Linked DNA regions of Ovis aries. The protein of the gene in region 1 purifies or fractionates together with the protein of each later gene. This does not show direct contact. Links are inferred from orthologs where the notes say so. Each region holds a gene or a part of one and is shown in the gene's direction. Other genes may lie near its edges.

The links.
Region 2: the proteins of SRPK2 (region 1) and ACIN1 purify together in Homo sapiens (affinity purification with mass spectrometry; 3 studies listed by BioGRID and IntAct, with this or other methods). This does not show direct contact. The link is inferred for Ovis aries from reciprocal best matches to the Homo sapiens genes SRPK2 and ACIN1.
Region 3: the proteins of SRPK2 (region 1) and RBM27 purify together in Homo sapiens (affinity purification with mass spectrometry; 3 studies listed by BioGRID and IntAct, with this or other methods). This does not show direct contact. The link is inferred for Ovis aries from reciprocal best matches to the Homo sapiens genes SRPK2 and RBM27.
Region 4: the proteins of SRPK2 (region 1) and ZNF638 purify together in Homo sapiens (affinity purification with mass spectrometry; 3 studies listed by BioGRID and IntAct, with this or other methods). This does not show direct contact. The link is inferred for Ovis aries from reciprocal best matches to the Homo sapiens genes SRPK2 and ZNF638.
Region 5: the proteins of SRPK2 (region 1) and GTPBP4 purify together in Homo sapiens (affinity purification with mass spectrometry; 3 studies listed by BioGRID and IntAct, with this or other methods). This does not show direct contact. The link is inferred for Ovis aries from reciprocal best matches to the Homo sapiens genes SRPK2 and GTPBP4.
Region 6: the proteins of SRPK2 (region 1) and SCAF1 purify together in Homo sapiens (affinity purification with mass spectrometry; 3 studies listed by BioGRID and IntAct, with this or other methods). This does not show direct contact. The link is inferred for Ovis aries from reciprocal best matches to the Homo sapiens genes SRPK2 and SCAF1.
Region 7: the proteins of SRPK2 (region 1) and TJP2 purify together in Homo sapiens (affinity purification with mass spectrometry; 3 studies listed by BioGRID and IntAct, with this or other methods). This does not show direct contact. The link is inferred for Ovis aries from reciprocal best matches to the Homo sapiens genes SRPK2 and TJP2.

Annotation. Positions count from the first base shown.
Region 1 is NC_056057.1:47,828,549-47,832,048, reverse strand, and holds part of SRPK2 (SRSF protein kinase 2), read left to right. Parts: exon of another isoform or gene 1-2,966; coding exon 2,967-3,132; intron 3,133-3,500. UniProt on the Homo sapiens protein: Serine/arginine-rich protein-specific kinase which specifically phosphorylates its substrates at serine residues located in regions rich in arginine/serine dipeptides, known as RS domains and is involved in the phosphorylation of SR splicing factors and the regulation of splicing.
Region 2 is NC_056060.1:21,576,730-21,580,739, forward strand, and holds the start of ACIN1 (apoptotic chromatin condensation inducer in the nucleus), read left to right. Parts: upstream 1-1,210; 5' UTR 1,211-1,282; coding exon 1,283-1,729; intron 1,730-3,276; coding exon 3,277-3,342; intron 3,343-4,010. Other genes in the region: C7H14orf119 (uncharacterized protein C14orf119 homolog), read right to left, coding at 492-517.
Region 3 is NC_056058.1:55,175,664-55,179,163, forward strand, and holds part of RBM27 (RNA-binding protein 27), read left to right. Parts: intron 1-1,123; coding exon 1,124-1,215; intron 1,216-1,882; coding exon 1,883-2,076; intron 2,077-3,001; coding exon 3,002-3,265; intron 3,266-3,500. UniProt on the Homo sapiens protein: May be involved in the turnover of nuclear polyadenylated (pA+) RNA.
Region 4 is NC_056056.1:93,306,815-93,310,314, forward strand, and holds part of ZNF638 (zinc finger protein 638), read left to right. Parts: intron 1-280; coding exon 281-346; intron 347-2,201; coding exon 2,202-3,156; intron 3,157-3,500.
Region 5 is NC_056066.1:45,938,087-45,942,292, reverse strand, and holds the start of GTPBP4 (GTP-binding protein 4), read left to right. Parts: upstream 1-1,406; 5' UTR 1,407-1,471; coding exon 1,472-1,519; intron 1,520-2,372; coding exon 2,373-2,543; intron 2,544-3,803; coding exon 3,804-3,907; intron 3,908-3,987; coding exon 3,988-4,124; intron 4,125-4,206. UniProt on the Homo sapiens protein: Involved in the biogenesis of the 60S ribosomal subunit. Acts as a TP53 repressor, preventing TP53 stabilization and cell cycle arrest.
Region 6 is NC_056067.1:55,789,947-55,793,874, forward strand, and holds the end of SCAF1 (splicing factor, arginine/serine-rich 19), read left to right. Parts: coding exon 1-230; intron 231-833; coding exon 834-916; intron 917-1,124; coding exon 1,125-1,343; intron 1,344-2,635; coding exon 2,636-2,764; intron 2,765-2,995; coding exon 2,996-3,187; 3' UTR 3,188-3,428; downstream 3,429-3,928.
Region 7 is NC_056055.1:67,460,396-67,464,360, reverse strand, and holds the start of TJP2 (tight junction protein ZO-2), read left to right. Parts: upstream 1-1,165; 5' UTR 1,166-1,199; coding exon 1,200-1,271; intron 1,272-3,965. UniProt on the Homo sapiens protein: Plays a role in tight junctions and adherens junctions. Acts as a positive regulator of RANKL-induced osteoclast differentiation, potentially via mediating downstream transcriptional activity.

The DNA of each region.
Region 1 (3,500 bases):
CATTTTAGTTTGCTGATTCCTAGGATGTCATTGTTTATTCTTACCATCCCCTGCTTGATCACTCACAACTCACCTTGATTCATGGACCTAACATTCCAGGTTCCTATGCAGTACTGTTCTTTGCAGCACCGGATTTTACTTTTGACAACCAGACACATCCACAACCGAGCGTTGTATCCACTTTAGCCCAGCCACTTTATTCATTCTATTAGTACTTCTCCTCCACTCTTCCCCAGTCGCATATGGGACACCTTAGACCTGGGGGACTCATCTTTTGGTGCCATATCTTTTTGACCTTTTTTAATAGTTTGTGAAGGTTCTCATGGCAGGTATAACTGGGGTGGTTTGCCAGTCCCTCCTCTAGTGGATCACATTTTGTCAGAACTCTCTGCTATGATGTGTCTGTCTTGGGTGGCCCTGCATGGCATAGCTCAGAGCTTCATTGAGTTATGCAAGCCCCTTCGCCACAACAAGGCAGTGATCCATGAAAGGGATTAAATATCTGAAACCTTAAATTCTTACTGAGAACACTTTGCTTGTCTCAAGTGTCTCATTTTCATTGAAATTCATTTTAACACATTTGGATACTGGATCATATTAACTCTTACCTAAGCAGCTTCACACACAGTGAAACAACCTAAGAACTACGAAAGAACTAAGGTGGAAAGTTAGGAACAACTTGTTCATGAGATGGTAGTGAAAGATATTTTTGGAAAGATGCTGACATTTTAACTTTGAGTTAATATTTGATGATTGAAGTGAAATTTTAGTTGAAATAATTAAAAATAGTTTAAACTTTCTAAAAGTCTTATTCCTTTTACTTCCACAGACGGGAAGTCATCAGTGTACTTGTCCATTAATTTCTTGTACTTCTCAGAATTTCTCTTACTACTCATATATAAGAACTCCATGTGATACTTCAGTTTGCCCAAAGAAGATGCATGAATGCCAGTGAATATATACAGGCTCATTGAATTGTGTTCCCTTCAGAATTATAACCTTATTCTCTATGGAAACATATAATGCTATGTTTCGTACTGTTGGTATTTGGACATTTTAAACATAATTTAAACATATTCTAGTTGAAGTATTATCTAAAACATTAAATATTAATTTTAAGGTAAAGTCAAAGCCTCGTGGAGATGGGGAACTTTGTTTATTGCTGTGTATCAAACATCTATAAGCATATGCAGCCTGTTATAGGAGCTCAACTGATGCTCAGTCAGTGAAGTCATGTGAAAGTATTTCCAAGGAAAAGTTTTTAAAATGAATATGAGGATTTTCATCTTGGTTAAGAGACTCATGTTCCTTCTACTTTCCTTGCGAAATCTGTGCCTTCACTTACTAATGTTTTGTCATCTTAAGATTGTTTGGGCTTCCCTGGTATTGGCTCAGCTGCTAAAGAATCTGCCTGCAGAGCAGGAGAACTGGGTTGGATCCCTGGGTTGGGAAGATCTCCTGGAGAAAGGCTACCCACTCCAGTATTCTGGCCTGGAGAATTCCATGGACTGTATAGTCCATGGGGTCACAAAGAGTCGAACACGACTGAGGGACTTCTACTTTCAAGATTGTTTAGCCAGAAACTGAAGGTAGACAGAAGCATTGGGTTTTTGCTGAGAACTTTTCCGAGTTGTTCAGTATTAGATATCTTCTGCTTGTCTTTTCCTCACTTCCTTGTCTAATGTGATCAAGACACCAAATGACTTAAAATGTTTGAATGAAGATGTTTATTAAATGCAAATGTTTATTGAGCATGTAGAATTTGTAATATATGGGAACATGAACTGTATTTTAAAATATTTTTTTTCCTTATGAAAAGAAAGAATTCCCCTCTTATGGAAATAATTCCAGAAAAACTTTGGCCTGGCATTTAGGTCACCATACTCTGTAATTTTTGCTATATATATATTTACACAGACACACACACATGGTAAGTATGTGAGTATCTTGGTTTAGCAGTTTCTTTTAAATCAGTACTATATAGTTTATAGCCTGGGTACCAAAGCTACCTAATTCTCCTTTCCTACAATATTAGAAATGTACAGACATCATTAGCCATTATGGGAATGCATATCAATGAGATACACACTTCACACCCACAAGAGTGACTAAAATGAAAAGACAGATAACAAGTATTGATCATCCGGAAAAAACTGTAATCCTTGCACATTGCTGATGGGAATGTAAAATGATGCAGCCATAGATAGGATAAAACAGCTTGGCAGTTTATTGAAAGACTAAAGATAGAGTTACAGTATGACCCAATAATTGTGCTACTAAGAAAAATAAAGACATGTCTACATAGAAACTTGTACATGAATGTTTATAGCAATATATTTATAGTAGCCATAAAATGGAAAGAACTCAAATGTTCATCATTGAATGACTAAACAAAATGTATTTTCAGTGGAAAATTATTTGGCATCTAAAAAAAATGAGGTATTGCTATGTGCTACACATGGATGAACCTTGAAAGTATTGGGCCAGGTACAAAAGACCACTCTGTATCATTCCACTTACATAAAATGTCCAAAGCCAGGAAAGTAGATTAGTGGTTGCTTAGGGCTAGAGGAGTTGGAAGGAGATGGGGAGTGACTGCTAATGGGTGCAGTGTTTCGTCTTTGTGTGATGAACATGTTCTAAATTATATAGTGATGACCGTTGCACATCTAAAAACCATTCTATTGTACACTTAAAAGGTTGAATTGAAAAAAAAAGGGTGAATTGTGTGTCATGTAAATTATATCTCACCAAAGTTGTTATTTTAATAAGCATATGTTTAAATGCATTTTCTTATATGAGCATAAATTATCTCCAGAATGATATACACTGGTTGCTTATGGGAAGGAGCTGGGTTCCTGTCGGGCCCAAGTTCCTATTGTGCCTTGTAATGACTGTAACTATTTTACAAATAAATGTTGAATAATAGAAGTATTAATAACTCCTTCCTGATTTTATGTGATCAGGTCCTTCAGGGGTTAGATTATCTCCACAGTAAGTGCAAGATCATTCATACTGACATAAAGCCAGAAAACATCTTGATGTGTGTGGACGATGCATATGTGAGAAGAATGGCAGCCGAGGCCACCGAGTGGCAGAAAGCGGGCGCTCCTCCTCCTTCAGGGTCTGCAGGTGAGAGGCTGGGCCAGCTTTGTGTCAGTCTGTGTAGGGGCATTGAGAGCCTGCAAAGTTGTTCATAGGAAGCAGTTGAGTTAAACGTGTACATGTTAGGAACTTGCATAAGAGCCCGATGACTGGTAATAATTAGACCTTTTTCTTGAGAAGGAAGATGCCCCAGTTAAGTCGTACTTTAATATTTGAATTACTTAGCTTTGTCCTCCCTTAAAAGGTCACTGAATTCTTCTTACCTGCTGCTTCATTTTCATTTGAACTCTGTCTGCGTCGGCCACTTCTCTACAAAGGAGTGTATAGTAACAGGTTTCCTGTAGCCAACCTACAATCGTCAGCATGCTTCCTTGTCTCCATTGAGCATAGTTACA
Region 2 (4,010 bases), on another chromosome or scaffold:
CATTCTGTCCCACCTAATTCTATGTTCTAGGTTGAGTAAAGAAAAAAATCAACGATTAATACTGGTCCAATATATCTTCCCTAAAATGAAAAAAAGGTATACATTTTTTAATTTACCAAGCAGCTGGTCAGGACCCAGATGCTAATCCTTTCTGAGCTATCAACAGTAGGTTAAAAAAAAAGAGAGAGAAAATCTTATACAGTGAAAGAGCCTTCTCTGCAATGTGCATGTAGCCTCTGAAATAAGAACTTTATAACTGTATTATTTTCTTATATTTCCTGTAAAGCATCAGGAAAAATTGAAGAGCAGAGTTAGTGAGGGTGCCTTGTCCAAAATGAGATAACAGAGTAAGAAAAACAGGAAAAGCAGCCAATTCTTTTTTAAGGACTGAGAAAACGGTCTAGTTGGTTTGCTGGCTTAGGGACCTAGCAAGTGTTATACTGCTGTGACAATTCATGTATGAACACTTTTCTTCGTGTTTAATAGAATACCTGTTGATGACCGGCCTTAGCATCATTAATGCAGTTGGGAGGTCAACCAGCTTGAATAGTTCTCAAATTCCACAGTTTGAATCTCGATGAAAACAACTTGTTTACGACATATTTTACTGTTTGTGTTTCTTCTGTTCTAAGCTGGAGCGTTTCTACTGACAAAGGAACCCAGAAGCAATTACCATCAGTTCACTACCAAAACAGCTCAAGGAGGTTTCTTTTTCACAGTGGCCCTACAAGAAGCAATTCTTCCTAAAGGAATATTATTCTCTTATTCAGAGAAAGGGAGAACTTTTCCCGAGTCTTGCGACATAGCTTCAATGGCAAGTTCAAGTCCAATGATCAAGAACTGGTTCGTAGGCCAGGTCCAAAGACACTATGCTGCCACCTTCCACTTTGGAGGCCACGGAATCTGGCATTCCGAGGTCCCAAAGAGCAACACAGCCCTAGATGGGAGTGGCGGAGATTCGGAAGATGGGAGGCGGTAGCTGTATCCGTAGAAGAGTTGGAGGCTTGCCACACTAAGGGTAGCACGCAAACACTGAGTCTTGCCCAGCCCAAGGAGGGAGGTACTTCTACCCCGCTTACCTCCCCTTTTCTCTCACAGGGCACCCGGAGACCGCCACAACAGGGTTTAGACTCCAACTATCGCGGCCGCTTCCATGTTTCCTGAAAACCCTAAGGAGGGCCAACCCGGCAGCCCACGCACTTCCGGCCCCGGACCCGCCCCAAACACCCAAGTTCCACAGCGCCTCAGCCTTAGGGCCGGAGATAGCCGAAAAATTCCGATTATGGCTAGGCCAGAGTCGACAGCTTCCGAACGGATTCGATTCAAAACCTCGGTAAGACGAAGAGAACCGAGCTCTGAAAGCAGGATGCGGGAGGCGGGGAGAGGCTGGGAGGCTGGAAAGAACCAATTGGTGCCGATGTGCAGACGGAAACACCCGAGCACTTCCGGAGGAACCCGGGGAGTTCTGAGTGGTAATCGAGGGGTTGACTATGGCAGTGGGCGGGGCCAACTCGGTACGTTCGAAGGGCGTTGGCGGAAATTACCGAAGATGCCCGAAGCCGTCGGGACGGACCCGAGTACCTCACGCAAGATGGCGGAGCTGGAGGAGGTGACTCTGGACGGGAAGCCTCTTCAGGCGCTGCGGGTGACCGACCTGAAGGCCGCACTGGAGCAGCGAGGCCTAGCCAAGAGCGGGCAGAAGAGTGCCCTGGTCAAGCGGCTCAAAGGGGTGAGGAGACGGCGTTGCCGGGGTGTCGGAGGGAAGCGGACCCGGTAGAGCCGAGTCTCTGCCGCGGCGCAGGCGCAGTGTCCGGGCTCGGCGCGAGCGAGCTCAGGCCGCCAGCGCGAGCCTCCGGATCCGCGCGCACGGTGGTTGGCGAGGCTCGCGCTGGAGTAGAAATAGCGCCGGTTCCCGCCTTAACGGTAGCGGCGCGAGCCCAAAATGGGAGGGTGCGCGCTACTCTCCTGGAGTGTCTTAAGCTCCTTCCTCGTTCCCCCACCCCCTCCTTGTTTGTGTCTGTGGTTTCGGCGCATGCGCTGCAGAAGGAGTTAAATCCCACTACAACCACCGGCGTTGCTGGCCTGAGGGGGGCGAGTTGGGCTGGGTCGGAGTTAGGGGTATAGTTGGCCGGAGGGGTTGATGGGGTTGGTTATTGGTATCCGAATGAATAGAATTGGGGTAGGGCAAAAATGTCTGCTTGACTAGATTAGGAGGTGAGATGAAGAGAAGCCTTGATTTGAAGGGACTTGGTTAGCCAGAAGTGTATATTTTATAGGGCATCCTGAAGCAATTTGGGTGGATAAGAGTTTGGTGAATATTGATGAGAGAGGTGAGGTGGGCTGGTATGTATTGGGGATTTTGAATCTGCTTAAGTAGATTAGGGTGGGATTGCCAAGAGGTAGACGGATGAATTGGTGTGTTTATTTGGTGTAAATGGAGGGAAGGTGAGGATCTCTTGATTTTGATTTGCGTTAGTTAGGATACGTGACCACTAGTACGGTTTTGGGGGCTTCCCTGGTGGCTCAGAGGTTAAAGCGTCTGCCTCCAATGCGGGAGACCCGGGTTCGATCCCTGGGTCGGGAAGATTCCCCTGGAGAAGGAAATGGTAACCCACTCCAGTATTCTTGCCTGGAGAATCCCATAGACAGAGGAGCCTGGTAGGCTGCAGTCCACGGGGTCGCAAAGAGTCGGACACGACTGAGCGACTTCACTCACTCACTCACTCAGTACGGTTTTGGGCTGGGTTGGCTCAAGGGTTAAGTTGGCAGACCGTTGCTTATACTGAAGCTGACAGTTTCGTGTGTGTGTGTTTATAAATTTGGTAAATCTAGTTGCCACTCTTTTGGAAACAATACAAGTTCATTTGAGTAGATCTAATCTGGGTAACTGATCAAATAATTCACTGAGGACAAAATCATGGTTTCATGTGTTTGAACCTGGTTTGAGTATTTGAAGTGAAGGGCCAGATTTAGAAGGAACACTAGTCAGAAGTGCAGAAGACAATAGCGATTGTAGTACTGTCAGATTTTATTGCATAGCCAGATTTCTTCAATATGCCTGCATTTTACATCTGTACATTTGGTAGCAGTAACCATGGCTACCTTTAAGGGTCTTCTGAAGAATGAGAACAGTATTAGTAAAGGGCATTTAGGTCCTTGGAAAAGTACAGTTTAAGTGTGTATGGTTAGTCATTGCATTTGATGAAGAGATTGGGGGAGGGGTATTTTTTGCTTTTGTTTTTCCTGGTTTCTGACTTTTGCCCTTCTCTATACCAGGCTCTAATGCTAGAAAATTTACAAAAACACTCAACCCCGCATGCTGCATTCCAGCCAAATTCCCAGGTAAGAAAGAAGATTCATTACCGGGGTGAACTCTGAATGCACAGAGACAGGGAAGGACATGATGTTGTATGTTTGGCGCTTGGTTTCTCACCAGTATTTTCCTAAGTTCCTTGGGTTGAAAATGTTTTCCTACTGGGACAATTGAATTCTAATAAAGAAGTCAAGAATCAGAAGAGCTCTAAGTTAATTTTTGATTCTTGAAATGGTGTGTGCAGAAAGATGTGGTTCCAGTTGATTAAGTGGAGTGCAAGGGTCTGAAGTCATTTATTTGACATTGATTTGAGAGAAGTAGTTGATGTCCTTGTAGATATGAAGTAGACAGTCACCATGGCAGTATAGGAAAATACCTCCTGATCCAAGAAGAATTCTTGTGTTGACATAAATTTTCCAAGAAATCAATCCTTTGGGGATCATCCACCATTATCAGTGTTAATATTAACTATGGAGTCATTCCTGAGCATTGTTACTTGCAGCAAGAAACTTAACCTTTGGAGACCTTGATTTCCTCAGTTTCCCTGTATCCGAGATGAGAAAAGGTTGAACTAGATCGATAGTTTTATAACTGCTGAGATTTTGTGGAGATGCTTTTGGAGGCTTCCCACAGGAAATTTCTTTCCAAGTGAGCAGCAGTTCACATTTCCCCCCTAAGCTAGAATAGCATTGAGTTT
Region 3 (3,500 bases), on another chromosome or scaffold:
CTGTGAATTGGTAGAGAGAATGATTTTTAAATATAGTTTAAGAATTGTAGAATGTTTTTGTCAGCAACATATGGTTGTCATATTGTGGCTGCCATTTTATGTTGCCTGGATTTTACTAAATTGTTATCTTCTGTTCCATTCACTCATTTCCTGATTTGTGTATTTTTAAACGAGCCTCTCATTAGATGGGCATTTGTTTAGCTCTTCCAGATGTCTTCATTTGTCTTAATTTCTCTCTAGTAAAGGCCATATATATATATTTTAACTTATTTATTTTTGGCTGTGCTGGGTCTCCGTTGCTCGTGTAGGCTTTGTCTAGTTGCAGGGGCTGCTCTGTAGTTGTGGTATGCGGGTGTCCCATTGAGATGGCTTTTCTTGTTGTGGAACATAGGCTCTAGGTACCTGGGCTCAGTAGTTGTGGTGCATGGGCTTAGTTGCCCTGAGGCATGTGGGATCTTCCCAGACCAGAGATTGAACCCATGTCCCCTACATTGGCAGGTGGATTCTGTACTGCTGGACCACCAGGGAAGTGCCATGTATTTGTTATGAGATTAACTTGTGTTTAAAAAACTTTAATAGAATCACTAGTTCTGTATTTCTGGTCAATCTTGACTTTAAGTTTTTAAAGAAGCCTTAACATTTCCAATAATTCTGATACCATTTTTCCATAATTCACATGAAATACTTAGATTTATAGCAGTGGTTAACCATTTGTTCCTTAAACTTTGTCTATGAAATAAATCTAAAGTTCTCCTCAAATGAATTATATTGTGAATATATTTTATAATTAGGAAAACACACAAACCGTTTTACTATATGATACTTAGAAGTAGAGATTTGTTATTTTTACTGTTACATTTTAAAGAATGAATTAATGTTTTCCTCCACTGCTATTAGGGTGATATTTAAAATTTAACATATTGCTGTCAAAGTAATTTCAACATCTTTTTTTACTTTTTCCTGTTGACCAACTTTGGGGGATGTGATTTGACTTTTTTTTTTTTTGACTTTAATATTTAAGTATATTTATGACCTCTCTTGTGGCCAGAAGAATTTATCAAGTGGATGTGTTTTATAATTAATGGAAGAACTGTTCTTATTTCTAACGAATATTTTCATGTAGGTGTTTCAGGAGCCAGCAGAGGAAGAACGAGATGGCAGAAAAAAGAAATACCCTAGTCCCCAGAAGACTCGTTCAGAATCTAGCGAACGAAGGTTTGTGTTTATCTTTAATTAGGAAAATATTGATAACTCACTTTTCAGTTACCTTATAAGGACATTAGCAGGATTTTTGACATATGCTCTACTCCTTTCATTGTAAAATGATTAGAGAAGTAATTTTTTTTTCCATTCCCTGTGTTTTTTATCTTTGTCATACTTTCTCTTCCTTTTATAAACAATAATCATTATCTGCTTTCCCCAGGAGCTCAGGGGTGGGAGCAGTCTCCTTAGAGAATATTAATGAAATGTTCCATTTGGTTAGGGGTGCTCAGTATTAAAATTGTCCATAGCATTTTATATTACAAGTAGTGCAATTTATATGTTGATTCGTCAGCCTACCATCAAAAAATTAGTTTTTGTTTAGGAACTCTTTGCTTTGAGCTTTTTGTCTTTTCTAGTTTTAAATATGTTTTTCCTTTTACCCCTCCCCATGCTTTGGATTCACCTCTTTTTTTCATTTCTCCCCACCCAGTATACTTGAAGAGAATGTTTTTTCTTTTTATGTAATGGATTAGAGGAATTACGCAGTGGTTTTACGGCTCTCTGGAAAAGCTTAGAAGTTACGAATTTTGATGAATCACAGAGGATAATTCATATTCCAGATTTGTTTTCTGTCTGGTTTCTGTAGTGTATCTATGGCTTTCATATCTGTATATTACAGGACACGGGAGAAGAAAAGAGAAGATGGCAAGTGGAGAGACTACGACCGGTACTATGAGCGGAATGAACTGTACCGTGAGAAGTATGACTGGAGAAGAGGCAGGAGTAAGAGCCGGAGTAAGAGCCGAGGCCTGAGTCGAAGTCGGAGTCGAAGCCGGGGGCGCAGCAAAGACCGGGATCCAAATAGGAGTGTTGGTGAGTCCAAGTGGCTTCCCCCTAAAACTCTACAGTTGCTTGTTTTCTTGTATCACAGGGGTGTCAGAACATCACTTTGATGGAAACATTGAAGGCAACAGGAGAAGGAGGCGGCAGAGGATGAAATGGTTGGATAGCATCACTGACTTAATGGATATGAATCTAAGCAAACTCCGGGATATAGTGAAGGACAGGCAAGCCTGGCATGCTGCAGTCAGTCCATGGGGTCACAAAGAGTCAGACATGACTTAGGGACTGAACACCAACAAGCAACCTTTAATATGTCTGAGCAATGTAAAAGCTGTAATTGTGTCACAAAAACTTGATTTTTGTTACAAAATCAGGGCTCTATTCTCAGGGTGGAGTCAAAGGAGTTTGAAGAAAAAGAAGCCATTTGTTCAGGTATCATAGGACATGTCTAAATTTAAGTCATTTTATATAATTGAAACACATGTCCTTTAATCAACAAAACTATTACTGGTGGGAGAGGGTTGCCTCTTTCCATACCCACACCCCCACCCCCTGCCTGAAAATAATTGATTTGCTTTAAGGTTGGCTAGAGTATTTAAAAAGAAAAAAATGGCAGTAGATTACTGAGATCCCAACCTCTGATATCCCAGGATATCAATTTGAAAGTCAGTTCTTAGCATTCTTACTAAGTCAGTAGAGAAACTGATCTTTCTTCATTATGTATTGATGTTGATGTTATAAAAATGATTTTATACAAGTTACTGGTGAAGATCCATCACATTGTTGATTTTCCTGGTTTTAGACTATAGTGATAATGAGAGCATTTTAAGATATGGACAGCTCAGTAAGTTTACTTCAGTATTCTCATCTTGCCTTTTCTGTGAGAAAATAAATATAGTTTAACAACATAGAAGTCTGGTCTTACTTGTTTCTTGTCTTTATTTTGTCTCCAAAGCAGAACATAGAGAAAGATCAAAGTTTAAGAGTGAAAGGAATGACTTGGAGAGCTCCTATGTGCCTGTGTCTGCACCAGCTCCAAACTCTTCTGAGCAGTATTCCTCGGGGGCACAGTCTATTCCCAGCACTGTTACTGTGATCGCACCTGCGCACCACTCTGAAAACACAACGGAGAGTTGGTCTAATTACTATAATAATCATAGCTCTTCCAATTCTTTTGGTCGAAACCCACCACCAAAGAGGCGATGCAGAGATTATGATGGTAAAAATTCTCTTTTATATTGTACCCCAGAGTACTAGTAAAGTAAATGTTGCTAGTAGTGCATACCATTTCATTACAGTCTGGATGTTATTAAAAGGGATGAGTGAGGAGGAGAATCTCTTTTGGCATATGCTTCTTTACTTGTTGGACATAATAGTTTGGTTCTTGTTAACATAGTGTTCAGATTTGACCCTTTAATTTATGTTTTGTTTTCCTCTTTACTTCCGACACTGTA
Region 4 (3,500 bases), on another chromosome or scaffold:
TCTGAAATGGGAAACCGTTTTCTCTTTTAAATTAAAACTTCATTTATCAACTTACTGATAAGACATTGTAGCTATTGAGAAGAAAAGATGAGTAAAACTAAGTTTAACTACAGTTTATGGAGATGATTGTTGACTTCACTTGGAATACCTATTAAATATTTGTGTCATTGAATGTGTTTGGGTAATATTTGCTTTCTGCACTGTTTTTTGTTTGTTTTAAAGGACATTAATAATCTAGTTGTAAATTCTGTTTTTCTGTGTTTCTTATTTAATATTTCAGACTTTGACCACGCAAAACACTAAGAATCCTAAAAACACCACTGGTAGAAGTTCAAAATCCAAAGAGGTAAGAAACAGTCCACTAATATGGACCCATCTGTTCCTTCATTCCCTAAGAGTTCGTCTACCTTGTAACTTGTGTCTCTCCTATAATAATTAGCTTGATATAGAGCAAGGGACGGGAATGGGATATTTTATTTTTGACCTTACTACCAGTTTGTTTTCTGACCTTGAGCTAAGCTAAATAGTTTGTGTTCTTAGTGTGGGGCAAAAAGTTATACAGGGATGGAAAGGGAATTAGAAAGGGAGACACCTCCAGTCTCTTCTCAATAAGAATAGGTTGTAATACAGAATAAAGTCTTGTGTGTAAAGGAGATTGACTTTTGACTGGAGTCCTCTCCAGTTTGTGGTCCTTTTGGTATGGTTCAATTTGCCCTAACTAGATGGGTTCTAAGATTTACTTTCTGGTTATTGACATCTACTGCCAAATAAACATACTATAATTTTTATTTGGCTGTTTGGTATTTTAGGTTTCTGTTACTCATAGATTATTTTTTCAGTTATTTTACTTTTTTCTTCTGGTAGGGGATAAATTTGAGCCTATTTTATTAGAGCAAGGAGAAATGTTACTAGCTTAAAAACCCAGAAGTAAGGATTATGGTTGGTTTCATGGCTTAATAAATTGATCGTACAGTTGTGTACAGATTCCCCCTCCTGCCCCCAAATTAGTGGGGTATGTATTCTAATGCCATTATTATGTTTGCTAGTAATTGACCATTGATAGCATACTAAATGTGTAGGAGGCCTGCCAGGAATTTATTTTCTTTAGTATTAGCACCATTTTTCAAATCACAGATAACTGTTTCTTTTTAATTTTTTTTTTATTGTAGTTATATTTGTCATTAAGTCTTAGTAATAAGTTTTCCATGTAACTTCCTCAAAACATAAACCTTACATAGGCGTACCTTAGAGATATTACAAGTTTGGTTCCAGACTGCCATAGTAAAGTGAATATCACAAGAAAAGTGAGTCACATAAATTTTTTGGTTTCCCAGTGCATGCAAGTTATGTTTGTGCTATACTGTACTCTGTTCAATGTGCAGTTGCATTGTGTCTTCAGGAAGTGTACATACCTTAATTTTAAAATTCCTTATTGCCAAAAATGCTATCATCTGAGCCTTCAGTAACTTAGTAACTTTTGTAAATAGAAGCATCAAAGATCGCTAACTAGGGATCATCATAACAAATATACTAACGATGAAAAAGTTTGAATAATGTTAGAATTAGTGAGATGTGACAGAGACATGCAGTTAGCAGATGGCTGTTGAAAAAGTGGAGCCAGTAGACTTGCTTATCACAGGGTTTTCACAAATCTTCAATTTGTAAAAAATGTATCTGCAAAGTACAGTAAAGCAAAGTATGCCTGTATCTTAATATTGCATATCTTAAAATATGTATTATATGTGTAATTCATCACTGGAACAATCTAGTTAACTGTTAACTTTGTAGTTTCATTTGAAGTGCTTTTAGTAGTCTGTGAATTCTTCAAAACTCTCAGTAGATATCATTTAACATATGGAAGCTGTAAGCTTTTACATTGTATTGTTTGATAAGTGCTTTAAGTGCAGTATTTTTGTGTGTCATATTTTAAAACTCATACATCATTTAGGAAATAATTGTAATCTTACTGAAATTGGATTGATATTGTTAGGATTTACCTTTGGCATTGTTTACTCTTTGGCTTTTGGGGGCTTTGAAAAATAATTTCAGCTTTAGGAAACATCTCTGCTGAAATTCTCATACCGTCTCTTGAAATTTTCGCAAATGATAGATACATCATGCACATTTATTGAAACTGGACCTAGCCAGTTATCAGTAGTTGTTCACAGTTCTGATTTTTTTTTTGTTGTTGTTCCAAACAGGAACCTTTATTTCCATTTAATTTGGATGAATTTGTTACTGTGGATGAGGTTATAGAAGAAGTAAATCCTTTTCAAGTCAAGCAGAATCCACTGAAGGGAAAAAGGAAAGAAGCTCTCAAAAATACCCCTGCCTCTGAACTGACCTTGAAGAAGAAGAAGGGAAAGATGTCTGCTCCTCGTGTGGTTGAGGGAGAGTTGTCTTTTGTAACATTGGATGAGATTGGGGAAGAGGAAGACGCAGCTGCACAGCTAGCACAGGCTCTAGTCACTGTGGATGAAGTAATTGATGAAGATGACATAAATGTGGAAGACATGGTTAAAAATTCAAACTCACTTCTTACATTAGATGAGTTAATTGATCAAGACGACTGCATTTCTCACAGTGAAACTAAAGATGTTACTGTGCTGTCTGTGGCTGAAGAGCAAGATCTTCTTAAACAAGAACGCTTGGTAACTGTGGATGAAATTGGGGAAGTAGAAGAGCTACCTTTAAATGAGTCAACAGATATCAGTTTTGCTGCTTTAAATACTAAAGGAGATGAGGGAAATACTGGAAGGGATTCTATTGGATTCATTTCTTCTCAGATGCCTGAAGACCCTTCTACCTTAGTTACTGTAGACGAAATACAGGATGACAGCAGTGATCTGCATTTAGTGACTTTAGATGAAGTAACTGAAGAGGATGAAGACTCTCTGGCAGATTTTAACAACCTTAAAGAAGAGCTTAATTTTGTTACTGTTGATGAAGTTGGAGAGGAAGAAGATGGAGACAGTGATTTAAAAATTGAGTTAACACAGAGGAAAAATGACCATCCCACTGATAAGAGAGGTGATAGAAAAAAGAGAACTGTGGACAAAAAGAAGACAAAACTTGAAGCTTTGTCTCAAGTGGGCCCAGTAAATGAGAATGTTATGGAAGAAAATCCGAAAACCATGATTGAAAGACGCTCAGCAGGTAGATACATAGAAGTGGTAATTTTTGTTTTATGAGAGGACTACATTTAAATTTTTTAAAATATATTTTATAGTGTTACTGATAATGTCATTGTAGCCAACAGATAGTTGTGGCCAAGTGATATTTTCCAGAGAAATATGTTCAGGATTCACAAAGTTGTCTTAGTTCAGATCTGAGGCCTAAGGTACTGTATCAAGAAAAAAATAACAAAAACAAGGCAAACTAGGGTACCCAGATGAGAGTTGGAATGCCAATGTTATATTTGTATTACTGAGAATAATACAGCTTTTGATAAGTAGAAGGCTATTTATATCAGACTGCCTCCTAGTTTTTGCTTAGACATA
Region 5 (4,206 bases), on another chromosome or scaffold:
ACGCAGGTACAGTTTCCCGACGGATGTGGTCCTGGGCTCTACAAGGGAGTGGCCACCCATTAGCAGGTTATGGAGGCCAGTGTCTCAGTGCCCCAGCCTTCTCCGTCTGCTGCAGAGGGCAGCCATGGAGCCGACCACAGCCCTCTGCTTTGGGTGGGCTTTTCCTGCCCTGCTCATCTGTAGGGTTTTGTGGGTCTTGGGGGCCATCTCCTTCCTCCTGACCTCATCTCACCAGCAGCCTGTTTTGCACTCACAGCAGGTCAAAACCTGCTCTTGGCTCTTGGCTGCCCCTTCCGCTCTTGCGGTGGCAGTAGGAGGGGAGGGACTGCCCCCCTTCACAGGGCCCTGGGGATGGACCCATCTGCAGTCTGATTCTCAGAAAGGCTGTGCTGCAAATCTGGAATCGTGCCGGAAGTCAGTGCACAACTGACTGGAAGTGTCTGGTCCATACAGGCATTTGGGGCCACCCTTGGCAGGCAGAGCAAAGGTGGGGGGCAAAGTTCCAGGTGGAGTTCGCTGGGGCAAGGCAGTGGGCAGGTCAGTCAGCCACGGTCAGGGGAGCAGAGATGCTAAGACAAGAGCCAGAGTCACCGAGGCGGAGGGATAGATGAGGGGCTCCTGAGGAAGAAGAGGGACAAAAGGCCTGCGGCTGGCCTGGGTTGGGGGAAGGCTGGCAGTTCCGGTGGGGCCAAGATGGGGTGGTGGCGTAGGGTCGCCAGCGCGGCCTCGCGGGGGAGGAGAGGTGTCCCTTGTCGCACACGGCTGGGCCTCCACGGCCTTTATTTAATAAGATTCAGCAGGGGACTTCCCTGGGGGCCCGGTGGTTAAGACTGAGCTTTCAGTGCAGGGACGGATGTTCCATCCCTGGTGGGGAAGCTAAGATCCCACCCGCCTCACCGACCAAAAAATTAAAAAAAAGGAAGCGCGCTCACCGGGGGAGAAGCGATGTGAGCGCGCAAAGAGCAGACCCGCGCGCCCCCCACCTTCCTCTCACCCAGCCAGAGCCCGGGCCCACTCCCCCAGACCCCCCGATCTCCGGAGACCCCAGACTCCCCGAGACCCCTGGAGCCCTCCGAGCCCCTCTGACCCGCCCACCCTCACCCCCCAGGCTCCTAAAGGCCCCCCGGACCCCTGGCTCAGGTCAGCCAGGCCCTGGACCGGCTGGGCAGCACAGATGCCAGGGGAGGCCTCTCAAGACCCTCTCCTTTCCGCGGTGGGGACCGGACCTCAGCGCCGCCTTCCCGGCCCAGTCCTCCCGCCGCGCGCGCCCTCCGCCCTGGCCCTGCGACCCCTTCTCTGGCCCGGCGAGGGCGCTGTGTGACTCCGAGGCGGTGCGCGGGGAGCAGGGAGCGCCGGAACTGACGCACTGCCTACGCACCGCAGGCGGAAGTCCCGTCCTTCTCGGCGGAAGTTATTCCCCGGCTCCTCGGCGGATGTCCGGACGGCTGTCCCCTCGTGGCGAATCGCCGGCATGGCGCACTACAACTTCAAGAAGATCACGGTGGTGCCGTCCGCCAAGGTAAGAGGCCCCAAGGGCCCTTCTGCCTCCGCTTTTTTTGGCTAGGTCGCGGGACGCTGGAGCTCCGGTCTGTAACGGTGGGCTGGAAGGGGCCGCCTTCCCCGCCGGGCCCCTTCTTAGATCACGTTCTCTCCAGATTTGGGCCCCCTGGTTTGGGGTCCTCCCAGAGAGTGGGGGTCCTTCCTCAGAGATTAGGGCCCTCGGGGGTTGGGTTCTGGGGGTCCTTCCTCAGAGATTAGGGCCCTCAGGGGGTTGGGATCTGCCCGGAGGAGATGGGGAGAGTCAGGAAGCTCTATGAAGTAGGTGGGTCTGCGACGACTGGCGGCAGCGTGCCTCCCAGAGCCGGCGTTGTGCTTCCCAGAGCAGACAGCGTCGCACGCCGATATTCTTGGACGGCTTGCTCTGGACTTCATGCCGGAGTCTTTCAGGTCCACTTTACCTTGGGAAATTGAAAACACTGGTTTTTTGTGTGTGCTGTCAAAACTGGAGATACACAAACCGAAATAGTAGAACTGTTTATCCTTAAAACATGCTTTTTTCCTGCTTTGTGCTTGATTTTTCTGGGTACTTACCTTTCAGATGGTGTTAGGTGTATGGAATTTACGATAATGTCAAGAGTGTGGGATAAAGTTTATTTCAGCAGGCATTTGCTGAGTGTTTTCATAAAGGCAAGGAACCATAAAGATGAACAGAGCTTTACACTGAAGATTTAAGTAGAATAAGTGTTCGTAGTTTAAAATAGAAAAAGTGTTTGTAGTTTAAAATACATTGTTGAACATTAGTCTTTTAAGGTGATTTCAAATAAGTGGGTGAAAGGAGACATTTTTGGTGTAACTGTCTTATTTTATTGCAGGACTTTATTGACCTGACATTATCGAAGACTCAGCGAAAGACTCCGACAGTTATCCACAAACATTATCAAATCCATCGCATTAGACATTTTTATATGAGGAAAGTCAAATTTACTCAGCAGAATTACCATGACAGACTCTCACAAATTCTGACAGATTTCCCCAAATTGGATGTAAGTGACTCTGCGGGGGGGAAAGTGATTATGTAAATATGAACCTGCAGGCAAGGTTAAACCAGGTGTGTCTACTTAGTTGACTGATAGTGAAGGAAAGAGGAAATAATTGACTTGTCAAAGTTTACTCCGAAAGTTAGTAACAAAACTGGGAGCAGATCAGAGGTTTTTTGATTCCTTAGTATCTTGTTTCCCCAGTGAAACTCCGATCTCTGAAAGCCTTGGGCTTTCTCTGTAATCTCTAGGCTGTGGGGACAGTTGGGATTCTGAAAGCTGTGGACTGAATTCAGAACCCTAAGGTTCTGGTGGCCTATGCGTCCTCTCCTTCTTTCCAAAGCTCCCTTTCCTGTGGCTTCAGATGGGGCCAGTGGCTTGAGGCCCAGCAGTGTGTGTTATCTTGCTGCTGCGGTTTATGGTCAGTGTGCTTTTCTTATGAGAGTCAGTCTCATGGGGTGCTGCCTTCTTCATTGAGCCCCCGAAGTTAGGCCCTGCTGCACGGAGCCATCTGCCTGTGTGCTTAGCTGCAGGATGCAGGAGTGGACCCTGCCTGTGGAGCCCCTGAGTGGGACCACGTGGTTGCGAAGTTGCTGAGGTAGTGATGGATGTGGGGTCTGCAATACAGCCTGAGAGCCTCAACTGCCCTGAGATAGTCCCTGAAGGTGGGTTAAGGCTGAGAGAAGAGATTGGTTCATGTGACAGAAATTGCTGGTGTAAAATTCTAGGACTTGATGTTAGTGCTTAGTGGCTACTGGCTGGATGAGGGTATAGTTTCTGGGGAAAGTGCAGGTACTTCAGAAAGTACATGAGGATGAAAAATGCAGTAAGGATGAGGTGACAGCACCAGGAAACGCCTGTACAAATAGAAGAGGAGCAAAGAGACGGAGGTTTTAAAACTTTCTTCTTAAGTTTTCGGCAATAACAGCACATTTACAGGTTGATGGGACTGGCTGGATGGGTGGGAAAGTATTTCTGGAGCTCTCTTTTCGAGCCCAAGTGGTGGGCTCTGGTGCCCAGATGGAGTTGGGCCTGGCCAGGCCTGCGCAGGGCAGGTGGACTTCACTTACCTGCTGACTCTATTTTTTTTCTGTGACTAAATAGTCACTGAGAGAGACCTGGGGAGAAGATTGAGGGGGGAGGGTGGGTGATGAGGAAGAGCAGAAGGTGTGATGTGTTTCCCTAGGAAGTTATGTTCAAGTGTTATCCACACACAGGAGGAGAAGCTGCCAGACCAAGGTGACCATTCTGTTGTTCTTGTTACAGGATATTCATCCATTTTATGCAGATTTGATGAACATTCTCTATGACAAGGATCATTACAAGTTGGCTCTAGGACAAATAAACATTGCCAAAAATTTAGTGGACAAGTAAGGGATTTTCTTACTGTAGTATTTTTGAAGTTACTGTCAAAGGAGAGCAAAATCTTACATGTTTTTCTGTTTTTCAGCGTTGCTAAAGATTATGTGCGGCTCATGAAATATGGTGATTCTCTGTACCGCTGCAAGCAACTGAAACGCGCTGCTCTCGGGCGGATGTGTACTATTATCAAAAGACAGAAGCAGAGTTTGGAATATTTGGAACAAGGTACTGGTTATGCATCAGCAACTAACTACTTGTTAGTGCATTCTGTTAAAGTACTTGATTATTGTAGAGAGTTATTTTTATA
Region 6 (3,928 bases), on another chromosome or scaffold:
AGAGGAGGAGGAGGAGGAAGAGGAGGAGGAGCAGCAGCCGGCCACCACCACAGCCACCAGCACGGCGGCCGCCGCACCGAGCGCTGCCCCAAGCGCAGGGTCCACAGCCGGTGACTCGGGGGCGGAGGACGGGCCTGCTCCCCGCGTCTCCCAGCTGCCCACCCTGCCTCCGCCCATGCCCTGGAACCTGCCTGCAGGCGTGGACTGCACTACCAGCGGCGTCCTGGCCTGTGAGTGTCCCCCAGGGGCCTAGGGCAGGCGGGGGCAGACAGACGGGATCCAGGAGAAGAAGGTCATTTGGGGATGAGCTTGGAGGCAGTGGTGGAGACACCTTGGAAGGGCTGGGTGTATAATGACCAGGACCAGGAGGACCTCAGGTGGGCGAGGGCCAGTCAACATCTGTCCAGAAGACTCCACGACGTCTGGGTGTGCTGGAAGAGAGCAGCAGGGTCGCAGGGGCAGCAGGCAGCCAGGCCACTCCAACACAGCCGGGAGAGGTGGGCTGTGTCCTGGGGTCTGCATAGAGGCAGCCTGGAATAGGCTTGGTGGAGGAACTGGGAAGAATGGGGAGAGCAGGGTCCCTTAGGGGACGCCAGTAGTCTGCTAGACTGCAGACGTGGGGAGCGGCCACGGGGGCTCAGGACCAGCCCCACCCCGCACACCTGAAGTCCTGAGAACACAGGCTGTGGGCGGGCTCTCGGTGCCTGAGGCCCACTCTTCCTGGTTGGTCCTGAGCGAAGACCTGCAGCCAGGGTGGGAACGAGGGGGCAGCAGTGGTTGGGGGAGGCTCACCCTCTCCTCTTGCATCAACTCCCGCTCCCCACCTCCTGCAGTGACTGCACTTCTCTTCAAGATGGAAGAAGCCAATCTGGCGAGCCGAGCAAAGGCCCAGGAGCTGATCCAGGCCACCAACCAGGTGGGCTTCCTGGGGAGGAGTCCCCGCTGCCCCCTTTCCTGTCCCCTGCTTCGGGTTAGGAGAGGACTACAGCTCCTGGCAGGCTCTGGAGCAGAGTATCGACCAGAAGAGGAGCCTGTTGCCTCTGGGACTGTTGGGAAATCAGGGTGGGAGCAGGGGTACCGGTTCCGTCGTCCCCTCCTGCTTATCCTCTGACCTTTCCCCACAGATCCTCAGCCACAGGAAGCCACCCTCAAGTCTGGGAGTGACCCCAGCTCCTGTGCCCACCTCCCTGGGTCTGCCCCCTGGCCCTTCCAGCTACCTGCTGCCTGGCAGCCTCCCGCTGGGAGGCTGTGGCTCCACCCCTCCCACACCCACTGGGCTGGCTGCAGCGTCTGACAAGAGAGAGGGCAGCAGCAGCTCCGAGGGACGAGGGGACACAGACAAGGTGAACTGGGCTCGGGAGAGGTGGGTTGATGGTGACGGTTCTGCCGAGATCACAGCCAGATACTGAGATGCAGGGCCTGAGGAGAGCTGTGGACTGATGCCAGCAGATGAGGATTTAGATGAAAGGGAAGTCACTCAATTGTAAGGAAGGAAACTTGTTTTTGATTAGACGAGAGGGTGGGAAAGGGGTTCTAGGCAGGTTTTTTAAGAGTTTCATATCGGGGTGGGGGTAGAGAGAGAGATGGATATGAACACACACTGGTATTTACGCACATACCCACTGCAGTCTGCCCCTGGGTTACCTGTCTCTTTCACTGACCCCAGTCTTTTTGTGTAAGCGGGGCACGGGGTGGTATACAAACGAAAGATCAAGCGTCTGTTGGTGGATGGAGGGAGGAAGAAAGGATACAGGGCAAGCGGGGTTTTTTCTGCTCCTCTAGCTGGCTGCTCCTGGGTCTCAGGGCTTGTGTGCCTTTTTTTGGTGTGGACACTGGTCACTGTTGTCTTGTCACCAGATGATGGCGCTGTTCACCCTTTCTGCAGCCCGCGTGAGGTGCCAGAAGGCGGGCAGAACAAACCCTTGTGTTGTAAGCCCCATATAAACAGAGATGGGCCACAGCTTTGATGGACGCTTGCCTGTGGCCGGTGCCATGGGCTGCAGGACAGGGTCGGTATGGGCTCTGTGACGAGCAGCAGGTCCCTGTGCCACTGGGGAGGCTGCCCTGTTTGTGCCCTGCCGTTGTCTCGGCACATCTGAGACAGAGGTGGGCCACAACCCCTTTCTCTTGGCCACATGTCTCAAACCCACTCCTGTGGGGCTGGGGAGGCCTGAGGAGACGCCCTGGGGTGTCCATGGCTCCCCCAGCAGCAGCTTGCCCGACAGCTGGCATTCTTGTCTCCGGGGAGATCCTGCCCTGAAGTGTGGGGTGTCCTGCCCTCCCAGGCCTCGGTTTTGCTGCCCCCATCTCTCTGAGGCAGCAGGGAGCAGCCGCCTGGCTCAGGTCTGTCTCCCTAATAGACTTAAGGGCAGCGGACACGTGGATCCTGGTCAGGGATGCCTGGGCCAGCCCAGGGTCCAGCCTGGAGGAAATGCTGGTGACCCCGAGAGGCCCAGGCCTGGCCTGGCTGGCAGGGCGGCTGCAGCAAGGGCAGACCCTCATCAGGACTTCACCTCCGGGAGTAGCTGGGTGGGCAGGAAGTTTGAACCGGCAGGCTGGTGAGTGGAGGCAGGCTTCTGCAGAAACTCACCCAGCCTTTGCTGTCCCTCCTTCCCACCCTGTCACCACCTCCCAGTATCTGAAGAAGCTGCACACACAGGAGCGGGCGGTGGAGGAGGTGAAGCTGGCCATCAAGCCGTATTATCAGAAGAAGGACATCACCAAGGAGGAGTACAAGGACATCCTGAGGAAGGCCGTCCACAAGGTGGGGCCCAGAGGAGACACATGCACGGGGTGGGCAGGGGGGAGACTGCGTGATGGGCGTGAGCGGACAGGCAGACAGGGACGGTGGGTCAGTCTGGAAGGTGAGAGGGAGATAGGATTTCCTCCAGCAGACATCAGGGGGTCAAGTTCAGACAGCCTGGACCTGAGGGCGGGCCTCCCACCCTGGGGCCCTGGGGGCTGGTGGTGACTGCGGCTGCCCCTTGCCCCCCAGATCTGCCACAGCAAAAGTGGGGAGATCAACCCAGTGAAGGTGAGCAACCTGGTGCGCGCCTACGTCCAACGCTACCGCTACTTCCGCAAGCACGGCCGCAAGCCAGGGGACCCTCCGGGGCCCCCACGGCCACCCAAGGAGCCAGGGCCCCCTGACAAAGGCGGCCCAGGCCTGCCCCTGCCCCCTCTCTGAGATTCCTGGCCCCGCCCCTTTCTTCCTTCGCTGCCTCTCTGGAATTCTGGACGTATTTATGGCTCCGTTTCCCGTGTCCCTCCCCCGTCAGTGGGATGATTGGGGGAGGGCTGCTGCGGGAAAGAGGAGAGCCCCTGCCCTGTCCCACGCCCATCTCCCTCGCCCCAGAGCCTGTGCCCCGCGCCCAGACCCTTTGTTCGTGCCCCTCCCTCAGTTTCATTAAAGGTTTCATGAAATGTTACCCCTGAGCCCCATGATTTTTAACCCTTCTCAAAGTCCAGTTTGGGAAGTGTCGGGGAGGAGACTTGGCCCAAGTGAGAGGGTGGTTAGCGGGGAGGATAGACAGTGTGACTTGGGGAAAGTGCAGCCGTCTCACCAGGGCCTCACTCTTCGTGTATAAAGTGGGGGCTGAGGATTAAGAAAGACCCAAGGCAGGTGAAGCACTTGGAACCAGGCCTGGCAGCTCCCCAGCTGTTGCTGGGGTGGAGAGGGAGGGCGGGGTCTCCACCCACCTGATCACTGTCTGCCCAGCTCAGGGCAACTGGCTGCTATCTGTCTGCTTTGGAACTGCCCCAGAAACCGGATCTTTGTCCTCCATTCAGTTGGATTCTTTCTCCTGCTTCCCTGAGGCTGGGGTGATCTAATTGACTCCCCCGAGATAGAGGGAGACTGAAGCACAGCCCAGCAAGGGCCACACAGTAAGTCAGGCCTCTGTCAGCCCCTGTTTTTTTTTTTTAACTA
Region 7 (3,965 bases), on another chromosome or scaffold:
TCCTCATTTAGTAAAGGAGATAAGTTATCCCAGGCCCCACAGCTCGGTAACAGGACAGAGATGGCCCCCAGATCGTCCTTGCCTCTGTGTCAAGTTGCTCCTTTTGTGGTGTGCATCTCGTGGTCTGCATTTAATTCACATCTCAACCTCAACCTCTGGAGAAGGAAATGGCAACCCACTCCAGTATTCTTGCCTGGAAAATCTCATGGACAGAGGAGGCTGGTGGGCTACATAGGGTTAGGGTTAGGGTTACAGTCCATGGGGTCACAAAGCATCAGACACGACTGAGCACACAACCTCAAACAATGTAGAGGGCTCGCTCCTCCCTTGCAGCCTGTCTGGCCCATTGGTGTAAAATACAATATACAGTGACAAGGACCACCGCTCCCCAAGACCATGCTTCCAAAATCCCAACCCAGCTTCCAAACCCCCAGCATCCCATACAGGTTTTCTTAGATGTTCAAAAACCCCAAATGTGCTTTTCCACCCCCACCCTCTGCAAGTGGTGAAGACAAAGAAGTGGAGAGCAGGGCCCTTTGTTATTCTTTTATCTGTGAAGTTTACAGAAAGGGGCGAGAGAGGAGGAGGCTCTGCTGAGTGAGCACTCTGCCCCCGCTATGGCCCTGACTGTACCCACTGCCCGAGTGTAGACTTAGTTATCTCCAAGGATGAGCAGCTTCGTATCTTCAAGCCTTTTAATTTTCTAGGTGATAACAGCAATTCCAGGCACCTGAAACATTACCCGTTGCTGTTCAGCCAGCTTATGCTTTTCGTGTATGTGTGTGTAGGGGGGTGAAGGGGGGCATCTATGTAAGTAAATACTTCTCTAAGTGTTCCTTTCTACAACATTGCTCTAGAATGTCCTCCTTAACTTAAAAATTTCTGCTCAGATACTGAATCATTTTACATGTCTAAAAGGAATATTTACTCTTAATTCTCTAGTTCCCTGGCATGGGAGAGAGGGAGGGAAAGCAGCAGAGTGGTGCAAATCCAGAATGCTTTCTTTTTCCTCATAAGTAGTGCTTTTCAGAGCGTTCGGTGTCCCGCTGTATGGATGTGTCACTGTGTGAGATGACAACAGGATTTGCTGGGAATGTGGGCCACTATTGTATCTGCCTTACGTAACCACGTGGAGTGGTGGCAATGGGCGAGCAGCCTGGGATGTAGGCAGTGCTCTGGCTAGTCACCCTCCAGAGGCCATGAAGACCGCGCAGTTCCTCCAGAGGATGTGGGTCCAGGCTGTTAAAAAGTTGGGGAGATTGAAAGGCCATGTGAGTCCCTCCGCAAGCTCTCCTTTCCCCCTTTTCTTCCCCAACCTTTCTTTGTGGGAAATTGGGAGGGGGAGCCTTCTCACAGTGATTCCTTTCTCCTCTGATTTATTTGTGCTTCTGGCAGCCCTCAGGAACAAACTGTGAGATGCAGATTGTAGTCATTGGTGGGTTTAAAAAATACTTGTCTTATATTAGGCAGACTTATGTGAAACTGATAGCCTCTTAATGGGATTTACGTATCAAAGGCTGCTGTTTCCCCTGTGTTGGGAATCTGCAAGCAGGGTGTTGCTTTCTGGGGAAGATGTTTGTTTGTATTTGGGTAATTGTAATTTCTTATTTTGGGTAAAAAGCTTTCTGCTTCCTTATCCAGCAGAAATCTATATTTTTCTTCTTACTATTATCTGTTAGTATTCTTTTTATCTTGGTTTCTAAATGATAGAAAAAAGTTTTTCCCTTGTTCTTTTTTTCCCCCAATGGATTGAACATGGAGTGCACTATAACATGTATAAGTGTTTACTTCTATGATGGGATTTTTATCAAACATGTCCCTTATGGGCAGATATTGATTCATCTCTGGCTCTGACTTTCCATCGCTGAAAACCAACAGTTTGTAGATAAAAAGCTTAAAAATTTCCTGTTGGGAGAGTCAAGGCAGTGAAGACTTTTAGTAACTGCCTCCTAGTTGGTTTTTATCACATTTCGATATTCTTTATGTAAAATATGGAATTTACCTGTTTGGCCAAGATTTTTCAAAGGAAAGAAACTTTAACAACTAGAGAGTAATTTTAGAGACAAATCAAATAACTATTTGTCCCTTTTTCATTCTGCATGTATATACGTTACTGCCAACACAAAGCTTTTTATTTACAGTTTTTAAAAACGGCCCCCTTTTATCTTTCTGTGTTGTCTAGGAATGAGTCATTACAATTTCGTGGGGATGGTTATTCACCTTACATATAGAAAAAGTGAAAGTGATGTGGGGGAGATCACTGGAGATCCTCCTGCTGCCGGAATGTTGTCTCTTGGGTTGAAAAGGAGACTCGGCTTCTTCTGCAGCCTTCTGCTCCTCCGGAGCCAGCCTGCTTCTGCACCTTGCCTGCCTTCATGCACTTCTCAAATTACTGCTCCCATCCCCTCCTTGCCCCCTGGCAGTCTGAATGATTGCACTTTTGCTCTTTGGCTTTGCCGTCTGTTCTGCATTAACAAATATTGGTATGAGGTCCTTGGGCTAGGAATCATTGGGTGCCCTTTGGTGTTTACTCATGAGCCCACCTTTCCTCCCCCCCCCCCCACCGTTTTTTAACTTACAGAGTGTTTGGTATATAAGAGAATTATATATCTAAATCATAAAGTGTAATTATAAAATATACTCGTGAGCCCGTCATGATACCCATGGACCCTCACTAGGGTGGACCCAAGGTCCTTTCTCACTCATCTACCTCATCCTGGGTCACACACACACACAAACACCTCTAAACAAAAGTGTGCAGTGCAGTGGCGTCCCGTATATTCACATTTCCATCTTTGAATTATGTAAAAATGATAGCTATCTATATAAACCCTTGCAGGATGTTTTTTCACTCCGTGTTATGTTTGAGACACTCCTGTGCTGTGGGTGTGTGGCTCTAGTTTTCATTGCAGTATAGCATTGCATTTTAATAACATATCACAATTTGTTCGTCTGTTCTGCCCTTGATAGATCATTCAGGTTGTCTCAGTTTGGGCTGTTGAAACATTCCTGCTGTGAATACTTTGTGGATCTGTGCGCACATACTGGCACATTTCTCTTGGGCCTCTGACCAGCAGAGAAATCATTGCATCGTGAATACGAGTCCCTTTACCCTGCCTGATATATGTATGTACTTTTCCTATGGTCTTGCATGTGAAGCTTTCTGAAGGCTAAGCAGCTCCCTGCCTGCATTCATGCAGTGGCTAAATATTGATGGCAATTCTCGGATCTCTGCACAGCCCAGCACAGGTTGGGTGGGGCCCATTGGCCCAGTTTGAAAGGCGTGGTCTCAGCTGTTTCCTAAGCTGATACATGACTGCAGGCTGTCCCTGGGGATGTATCGGGAGCTGATTTTCTGTGATTGTGTAGGGTGCTCTGTGTTTCTAGAAAGATACAGATGAGGCAGAGAAGACAGTCAGTGATTTGCTGTTTTGGGCACACCCGTGGTTGAGTGACTGAATAAGTGAAGGAATGAAAGAATGAAGGGTTTTCTGTGAGACCCTTGTAAAAAGTCACAGCTTTGTGGGTTGTGTGCAACATGGTTTATTTTTAATGCTCAAGAGAGCTATTAAAATTTATTTCACTCTAATTTCTTTACCTTTAAAATTAAGATTTGAAATTTATCTCTTAGTATATTCTCTTAAAATTTAAGTAGTTAATGGGTTATGTCACAGCCCATTAACTCTAGGTAAGAAAAGGTTGCTTATAATCTGAGCAGTTTCATAACAAGTTGATGAAGTCTTTGGCACTTGGCAAGGTCTGATTGATTTAAAAATTTCATTCATTCCTGTGATTGTCACAGTAGTGGTAAGGGATTAATCCTTTCTCTGACAAATTGAATTTAAATTACTCCTGCAGGCAGCACAGGAATACTTAAAGGCAATTTAATCTTATTAAGGAAGAATAGTGAATTACAAAAGCGAGGTTCATACTAGGAGAATGTTTTGAAAATAAAATTTTGAAGT